Linked DNA regions of Callithrix jacchus. The protein of the gene in region 2 purifies or fractionates together with the protein of the main gene of each other region. This does not show direct contact. Links are inferred from orthologs where the notes say so. Each region holds a gene or a part of one and is shown on either strand. Other genes may lie near its edges.

Region 1 (3,822 bases), on a different chromosome or scaffold from region 2:
AATGATCATAGGTATATGAAAAGATTATAAAATCTAAACATTCTATCAGGTGTTAACTGTTAGAAATTTCAAAATGTAGCATAACTTACTGCCAGCTCAAGAGGCAGATGAACAACTTGTTTGTACTGAAGAATACAGAAATCATTCATGACTTAATTGTTCTTCTCTTCCTATAAATATGATCCGAATCTCTTTTTCATAGTCATTTGTGAACCATCACAGGTTTCAAAACATTGGTAGCTCATTGGCTCTTACCATTGTCTATGAAAGTGCTGATGCCATGTGGGTTGAATGAAGCCAAATCAAACCCACGGCTGATTCTTAATTCCCGTGCCCTCGGTTTTTCTTCTTTTAGATCCATCATTAGTATTCCTCCAGGCTTATCTGGTGCAAAGCTGTGGAGTCCTGGGAATTTCAGACCCTTCCAAAACAGTGAAAAATGTTAAATACAAAGGCTGAAGTGTCTTTACAGACTAACATGGGAACTGTACATGAAGGAGAAATAGAGATATGGTTACAGTAGTGGTATAAAGCCACAAAAAACTCAAAAAACAGAGAAAGTATAATAGAAAAAATAATAACGGGGAGCTGGAACACTGAAAGCTGAAAATAACTGATTTTGTTGAGTTGATACAGAAGATCAGGGATTTATTCTCTTCAGAGGGTAATCAGAAGGTTGGTGGACAAGGTGATCCAGGGAAAGCTGAAAGTGGAGAAAAGTGACATCTGCATACTGACTGTGGAAAGTTTGTTCACTGCTAGATCCCACTGCCTGGAACAGTGCCCGGCATATAGTCCATCCTTTTCCCACTGATTCAAAATGTCTCATTTATCATGTGCTAGATCTCTTACATATTGGTCTATTTAGGGACTCTCTGTTGTGTTCTTTTAATGTCTCATGCCTATTCTTGTGCCAGTATAACAGCTTTTAAATTACTACAGCTTTAGGTCAGGCCTGGTGGCTCATGCCTATGATCCCAGCACTTTGGGAGGCTGACATGGCAGGATTGCTTGAGGCCAGGAGTTTGAGACCAGCCTGGGTAACATAGCTGGTCTCTACTAAAAAAAAAAAAAATTAGGTGGGTTTTGTGGTGAGCACTTGTAGTCCTAGCTACTTGGCTAAGGTGGAAGGATCTCTTGAGTACAGGAGTTTAGCAGTTCAGCCTGCAGTGACCTGACTGTACTACCGCACAGCAGCCTGGGCAATTGAGCCAGTCCCTGTTTCTCCTGACAGTTTTGTCTTTTTCTTTCCTATCTCAAGTTTCTTTTTCTTGTTTTACTGAATCCCTAAGAACCCTAGTAGATTACTGAGGGTTGTGGTATTGCTGGGTATTTTCTTCCTGTTGGAACATTAATGCAAATGCAGGTAATGCTTCACCATTAAGAAAAATGTTCGCTGTAGTTTTGTGGGAATTTTCCTTCTCCTTCTAGTTTGCTTGAAACTCTAGGAATAAGTATTAAATTTTATTAAATGCTTTTTTGGTACTCACTGAGATGATCTACGTCTTTTCTTTTAAATCAGTTATTAAATTACCTATCAGCCTATCTAAAAATGTGATTCATCATTGCATTCTTAAGGTAAAGCCTTCTTGGTGATAAATTTTATTTGAATGCATTACCTTATTCAGTTTACTAATACGGTGAAGTCATATTTTAAGCAAATTTAACGGCACAATAAAAAAGTCTCACTTTACGTATAAAATTGGATATAAGAGGAAATCTCTCCAATTAAAATGATCTATAATCGTATACTTTCATGGAAGGCAGGCGGCGTAAGTAGAACAAACTGGAATTATGCTATCGTTACATGGCAGTGCCACTTCAGTTATTATTAATCTCTATTCTTTATGAATGTCCCCAAAACAATAGCATGATTTCCATGCAAAGGAAACACTATCAGATGGTAATAACTAGACATGGTTATGCTGGCGCTCCTTATTAAGTATTTTTTTCTCTTTTTATAAATTTATTTTTAATTGTGATAAAATTCACATAATATTCATCACTTTCACCATTTTTAAGTGTACAGTTCAGTGGTGTGAAGTACACTCACATTGTTGTTTATATTTTTTACCTTTTATTGTATGTCATCCAATTATTCATGAAGTGTGACATTAATTTTGAGGTGACCCTCAACCCATAACTGTAAAATAGGTCAGGTTGGATGAGCTAAAATGCTAGGAAGAACAACAAACAATCCCCACAATGTAGGAGCTCTTCACTTAGAAGACAGTACACTCTGGGTTATATTAGAGACAATACCAAGTAAATGAAAAACAGCAGCAAACTGGGAATGTTTCTAAATTTGTTTAAAAATCAAAGTCAAATAACCAAAGGAGGATAACAGAAAAAAAGCAGAAAAAGTTCTACTGACATGGCTATAAGATCTTTGTAACTGTAATATGCCCCCAAGCTAAAATGGCTATAGAGTTGTGTGCTTGGAGACCTCATCCCTCCTACTTCAGATTTATTACTATGGGGGCTGGAGAGAAATCTTGAAATAGGTGAATTCTAGATTATAAAAATCTCTAAGAACACATCCTTGCAAAACAACAACGACAAAACCACAAACAAACAAAAAATTCAATGCGACTGCGTTCTACGTTATTCAGAATTTTTGCATCTCTACTTCTGAATATGTTGGACTAGTGGTCCCAGTAATTTTTCCTAAGCCTATATACACATGTGCAAGCATGTGCTTCTAAACAAACCCAGAATTCTACTATAAATATTACTTTACTCATTCTGTGTTGGCAATTAAATAAAACCTTTCTTTTAAAACCTTATTTTTTTAATTAAATATATATATTGGTGTTTCTGCTAAAGCCCACAGTATTTCTTTATTCCCTCAGTGGTAATAACCAGCTGCTCACAGTCTTTCATATAAAAACCGTCAGGAACCTGAAGACTGTTCTCACTCTCATTCTATTCCAAGCTGAGTTCTCTCACCTTTCTCATAAGTCTAACAACTATTTTATTAGTGTGGTGACTCCCTTCTAAGTATCTTCCAGTTTTTCCATATTCTTCCTGAGTCTCAGAGACTGAAAATAATGGATGTTGAGAGGAAACAGAATAATTACAGTCAGGCTTCAGAAGAGTTGGTTACTTCTTCCTCCAGAAAAACTGGACCTATGAAGATGCCAAGAATTCCTACATCTGCCCAAGCCAGGGAGGTAGGTGGTCAGAACCTCCTCATCTGACCTCTTATCTGGATTTCCAATTAGAATGGATATTGTTGCAAGCCATTTTCAACAATATTCACAAGCCAACTGTTTTTAAAGTCTTTCTATGGTATGCCCAGAAAGGATACTATTTTTCAGCTCACAAGAATCAAGGCAAAGTGAAGGGTGTAAATAAACTCAGTCAATGACTTTCCACTTATGATTGGCTATTCAGGGGAAAAAAGAAAGAAAGCAATAGGGCAAGGTTGGTATAATATTTGAAAATAAATAATAATGGCAAGAATATTTGCTTAAAGTTGAATATGTAATAGACAGATGGGTAGATGCTGTATTTAAAATAGCATGTTAGTATTGAGTATCCACAGGAAGATCTCATATATCCCTTTTAATAATGCATATTTAAAACACAGATTGCGGCTGGGCATTGTGGCTCACTCCTGTAATCTCAGCACTTTAGGATGCTCAGGTGGGCGGATCACCTGAGGTCAGAAGTTCAAGATCAGCCTGGCCAAAATGGTGAAACCCCATCTCTACTAAAAAATACAGAAGTTAGCTGGGCATGGTGGCAGGTATCTGTAATCCCAGCTACTCAGGAGGCTGAGATGGGAGAATCATTTGAACCCAGGAGGCAGAGGTTGCG
Region 2 (3,822 bases):
ACATAGATTCTTCCCCTTTCCCTCTTAACCACACAAATAGTAAAATACTATTCTGCACATTACATTTTAAAATTTTGTATCTTGGAGACTGCTCCGTGAAGAGTTTCCTTATTCTTTTCCTACGAATATTTTCTAGTACACTTTGACCAATCCCTCCCATTGATGAGCAGTTTTGCATTTTTTTCTATTATAAAGTTATTAAAAATAGCTTATAAATATTTTAATGTATAAAACACATACTTGTAGAATCAATTCTTCAATTCTTTTTTCTTTTTTGGGGGTGAGAGGGAGACAGGGGACAGTGTCTTGTTCTGTTGCCCAGGCTGAAGTGCAGTGGTGTGATCACAGCTCATTGCAGCCTTGACCTCCTGCCTCAGCCTTCGAGTAGCTGGGACTACAGGCATGCACCACCATTGCTGGCTAATTTTTGCATTTTATGTAGAGATGGGATTTTGTCATGTTGCCCAGGCTGGACTTGAACTACTGGGCTCAAGCGATCCTCCTGCCTTGACTTCCCAAAGCTTGCTGGGATTACAGACATGAGCCACTGCACCTGGCTAGAATCAACTCTTTAAGTGTAATCACTAATCAAAAACTGCATACATTTCTAACTTTGATAAATTCTCCCAAACTGCCTTCCAAATAAGCTGAACTATTTTTCATTCCCTCCCCCCGCCCGCCTTTTTTAGAGACAAGGTCTCACTCCATTGCCCTGGCTGGAGTGCAGTGGCACTATCATGGTTCACTGAAGTCTTGACTTCCCAGGCTCAAGCAACTCTCTGCCTCAGCCTCCCAAGTAGCTGGAACCACAGGTGTGTGCCACAATGTCCGGCTAAACTTTTCATTACTTTAGTCAAAATATTTATGGCCGGGTGTGGTGGCTCACGCCTGTAATCCCAGCACCCTGGGAGGCGGAGGTGGGTGGAGCATCTGAGGTCAGGAGTTCAAGACAAGCCTCAACAACATGGCAAAACCCTGTCTCTACTAAAAATATAAAATTAGCTGGGTGTGGTGTGGTGGCATATACCTGTAATCCCAGCTACTAGGGAGGCTGAGGCAGGAGAATTGTTCCAACCCCGGGGCAGAGGCTGTAGTGAGCCAAGATGGCACCATTGCACTCTGTCTAAAAAAAAAAAAATTTACTGGCTACTGGCTCACCTGTGATCCCAGCACTTTGGGAACAAGGTAGAGATCAAAGTCAACTGTTTCCCCTGTGGCTAGCCAGTTGCTGACACCATCCCTTTTCCACCAATTAGAAATGGTATTTTCCTCTAGGATGCACAGTAAATTTTAAATACAGATTGCAACTTCTCCCCTACCACTGAGTGAGGAGAAGAAAACCTATTTGGGTTCTTCATTGGCTGGGAAAAACCTGTTGAGCCTGTAATTTGGCTTAAGATGCCAAAGGTGTCACATGAATCATCACCTCATTTTTTTTTTTTTCCATCGACAGTCTAGCTATTGATGCCATCACCTCATTTTATCAAGTACAATTGGTTCTAAAGTGCTTCAGGAACCAGAAAAGAGCAAACTAGCTGTTCTTCATACTGTAAGAGTGTCCATCCAAATAACTAACTGAGACTGGCTTAGAAGAAAAAAAAAAAATCCATCAACTTTGTTTCTTTTTCCACATACCTCACATTTTAACTTTTCTCCTTCACAGGGATTCTTACCTGAGGTCCATGAACTCCCTCAGGGGTCTATAAATGAGCTTCAAGGGCCCATGACCTCCTTGAAGCTGAAGTTAGCAATTGCATTATTCTGGGGAAAGGTACTTACCCTTCAACAGCTTCTCAAAGGCATGTGTGATCTACAAATGGCTAATATAATCCACTTCTTTTAAATCCAAAATGAAACCCAAACCCAAAGCCAAATGAGGTACTATATTTGGAATTCAAGAGGTAGGAAATTAACTAACAAAACTGCTCAATTTATGAAATCTTCATAATTACAGCTAATGACAAAACCGAGATGACTTTACCCAATAGAAAAAGTTAAGGTTTCTCTTACTCACCATCATAGCCTCCCAACACAAGCCAGGGGAACACTGGTCCACCAAATGTACCCAGACAAGGATCATGGAGCAAACTTGTATCATTCAGAGAGGCCGGAGCCCTGCCAAGTTTAGAAAACACCTCCCCGTTAGAAAGGCCTCAAGATATCACAGAGACCTAAACATTTACAATACAAACATTTGATGAGGCCGGCTGTATTCTAAGTACAACATGGGCCCTGAGGTTTCTCACTTGAATAATACAGCTCCAGTACTCGCCTTTGGTAGCTCAGAATTACTGGGCAAGAGACAGGCAAATACTGCCCAGTGTCATCAATGGTACACGGTGCATGCTGCTATGTGGGCACAGAGGAGGGAGCAAACAGTAAAAGGTGAGACTATAGCCAAGAGGAAGAGACCGTACAGACCCAGAGCTCCGAGGATGAGGGGGATTTCACCAAAGAGAGAGGACAAGAAGGTGTCTCACACAATTACAACTGCAGGAGGAAAAAAGGAGGGAGAGAGAACAGTGAAAGGGAATGAGAGCAAGATGGTGGTTTGGCAAGTCCTGTATGCCAGGTATGGTGGCATGCCTAATCCCAGCTACACAGGAGGCTGAGGCAGAAGGATGGCTATAACCCAGGAGTTTGAGTCCAGCCTGGGCAACATAGCAAGACTCTATCTCTTAACAAACATAATTTAAATAAAAGAAGTCCTCTCCTAGGGCATGGGGTGCCACTGAGGGGGCTTCTAAAGAAGGGGGCCAGTCTGGGAAGAGCAACAGACAGACTGTGAAATAAAAGGACTCAGTGCCAGTTAAGTAGTTTGGATTTTTTATCCTGGAGGCACTGGGGAACAATGAGAGCTTTCTGGGAAAGGGATGTCATGAGCTGTTTTACAAAGCTAGCTCTCGTGGCAAAGTGGAAGAAGGTCTGGAAATGGCAAAGAAACAGGAAGCAGGCAGAACAGTAAGTAGAGAGGTTTGTGCAACGGGCCAGGCAAGAGGCGACTGGCAGTGCAGTGCAGACAGACAGACGGCCCGTGGAGAGGGAACCAGCAGTTTCAGACAGACCATCAGCTAGAACTGCTCTGGGTGCTGAAAAGCTTCTGCATATGACCCCCTCATCAGAGGGGATGGTTGATGGTGTGAGGGAGGTCAGGTGACCTGCAGTGAGCAGCCGAGTCCCTTCATCCACAGCAGGGATGTGAGGGACCATCCAGAGGCTCAGACCTGTAAAAACCCCATGAGGAAGGCGAGGGCAAGGCAAAATTCAGGGATAAAGCCTTAAATCTGAGTAACTGGTAGCTGTTACTGCCTTCAAATGACATGGGGACAGAGCAGGTCAGGGCATGGTTCCAGGCAGACCACCTGCCATTACTGCAGGACCCTCAGGTGAAAAAGTCCAGGAAAAGCTAGAGGAAGAGGAAAGGAAACAGCACTAGAGGCAGGCCTGGGGTTATGAGGACACGCACAAGCATAATAAGAAACAAGTCAGGTTCCTGCCAGGAGCCTGCCAGTCCCTCACACCAGCCTCCACACTGGTGGGAACCATGCCCGCAATGAGGAAACACAAGGCTCACGCACCTCCGCCCCTCATTTTTGTAGACTTTTATCTCACACAACAGAGTAAATGCTTTCTTCATCCAACTATAAAAATTATGTAACATTCAATGTGTTTTTTTTTCTTCAAATTACCCATGGCTCGCTTGCACCATCTACCCTGTGGAGAATGCTGGGTTAGGGTATGGAGCATAAGCTAATTGTTTTTTCATGAGTATAACTCATGTTTTTAGTGGTGACATTCTTGAAACAGAGTAACTCCTTAAAA

Evidence for each region.
Region 1: the proteins of NPC1 (region 2) and PON2 purify together in Homo sapiens (affinity purification with mass spectrometry; 3 studies listed by BioGRID and IntAct, with this or other methods). This does not show direct contact. The link is inferred for Callithrix jacchus from reciprocal best matches to the Homo sapiens genes NPC1 and PON2.

The regions. Positions count from the first base shown.
Region 1 is NC_133512.1:54,261,646-54,265,467, reverse strand, and holds part of PON2 (serum paraoxonase/arylesterase 2), read right to left. Parts: intron 422-3,822; coding exon 256-421; intron 1-255. UniProt on the Homo sapiens protein: Capable of hydrolyzing lactones and a number of aromatic carboxylic acid esters. Has antioxidant activity. Is not associated with high density lipoprotein.
Region 2 is NC_133514.1:66,652,486-66,656,307, forward strand, and holds part of NPC1 (NPC intracellular cholesterol transporter 1), read right to left. Parts: intron 2,116-3,822; coding exon 2,015-2,115; intron 1-2,014. UniProt on the Homo sapiens protein: Intracellular cholesterol transporter which acts in concert with NPC2 and plays an important role in the egress of cholesterol from the endosomal/lysosomal compartment.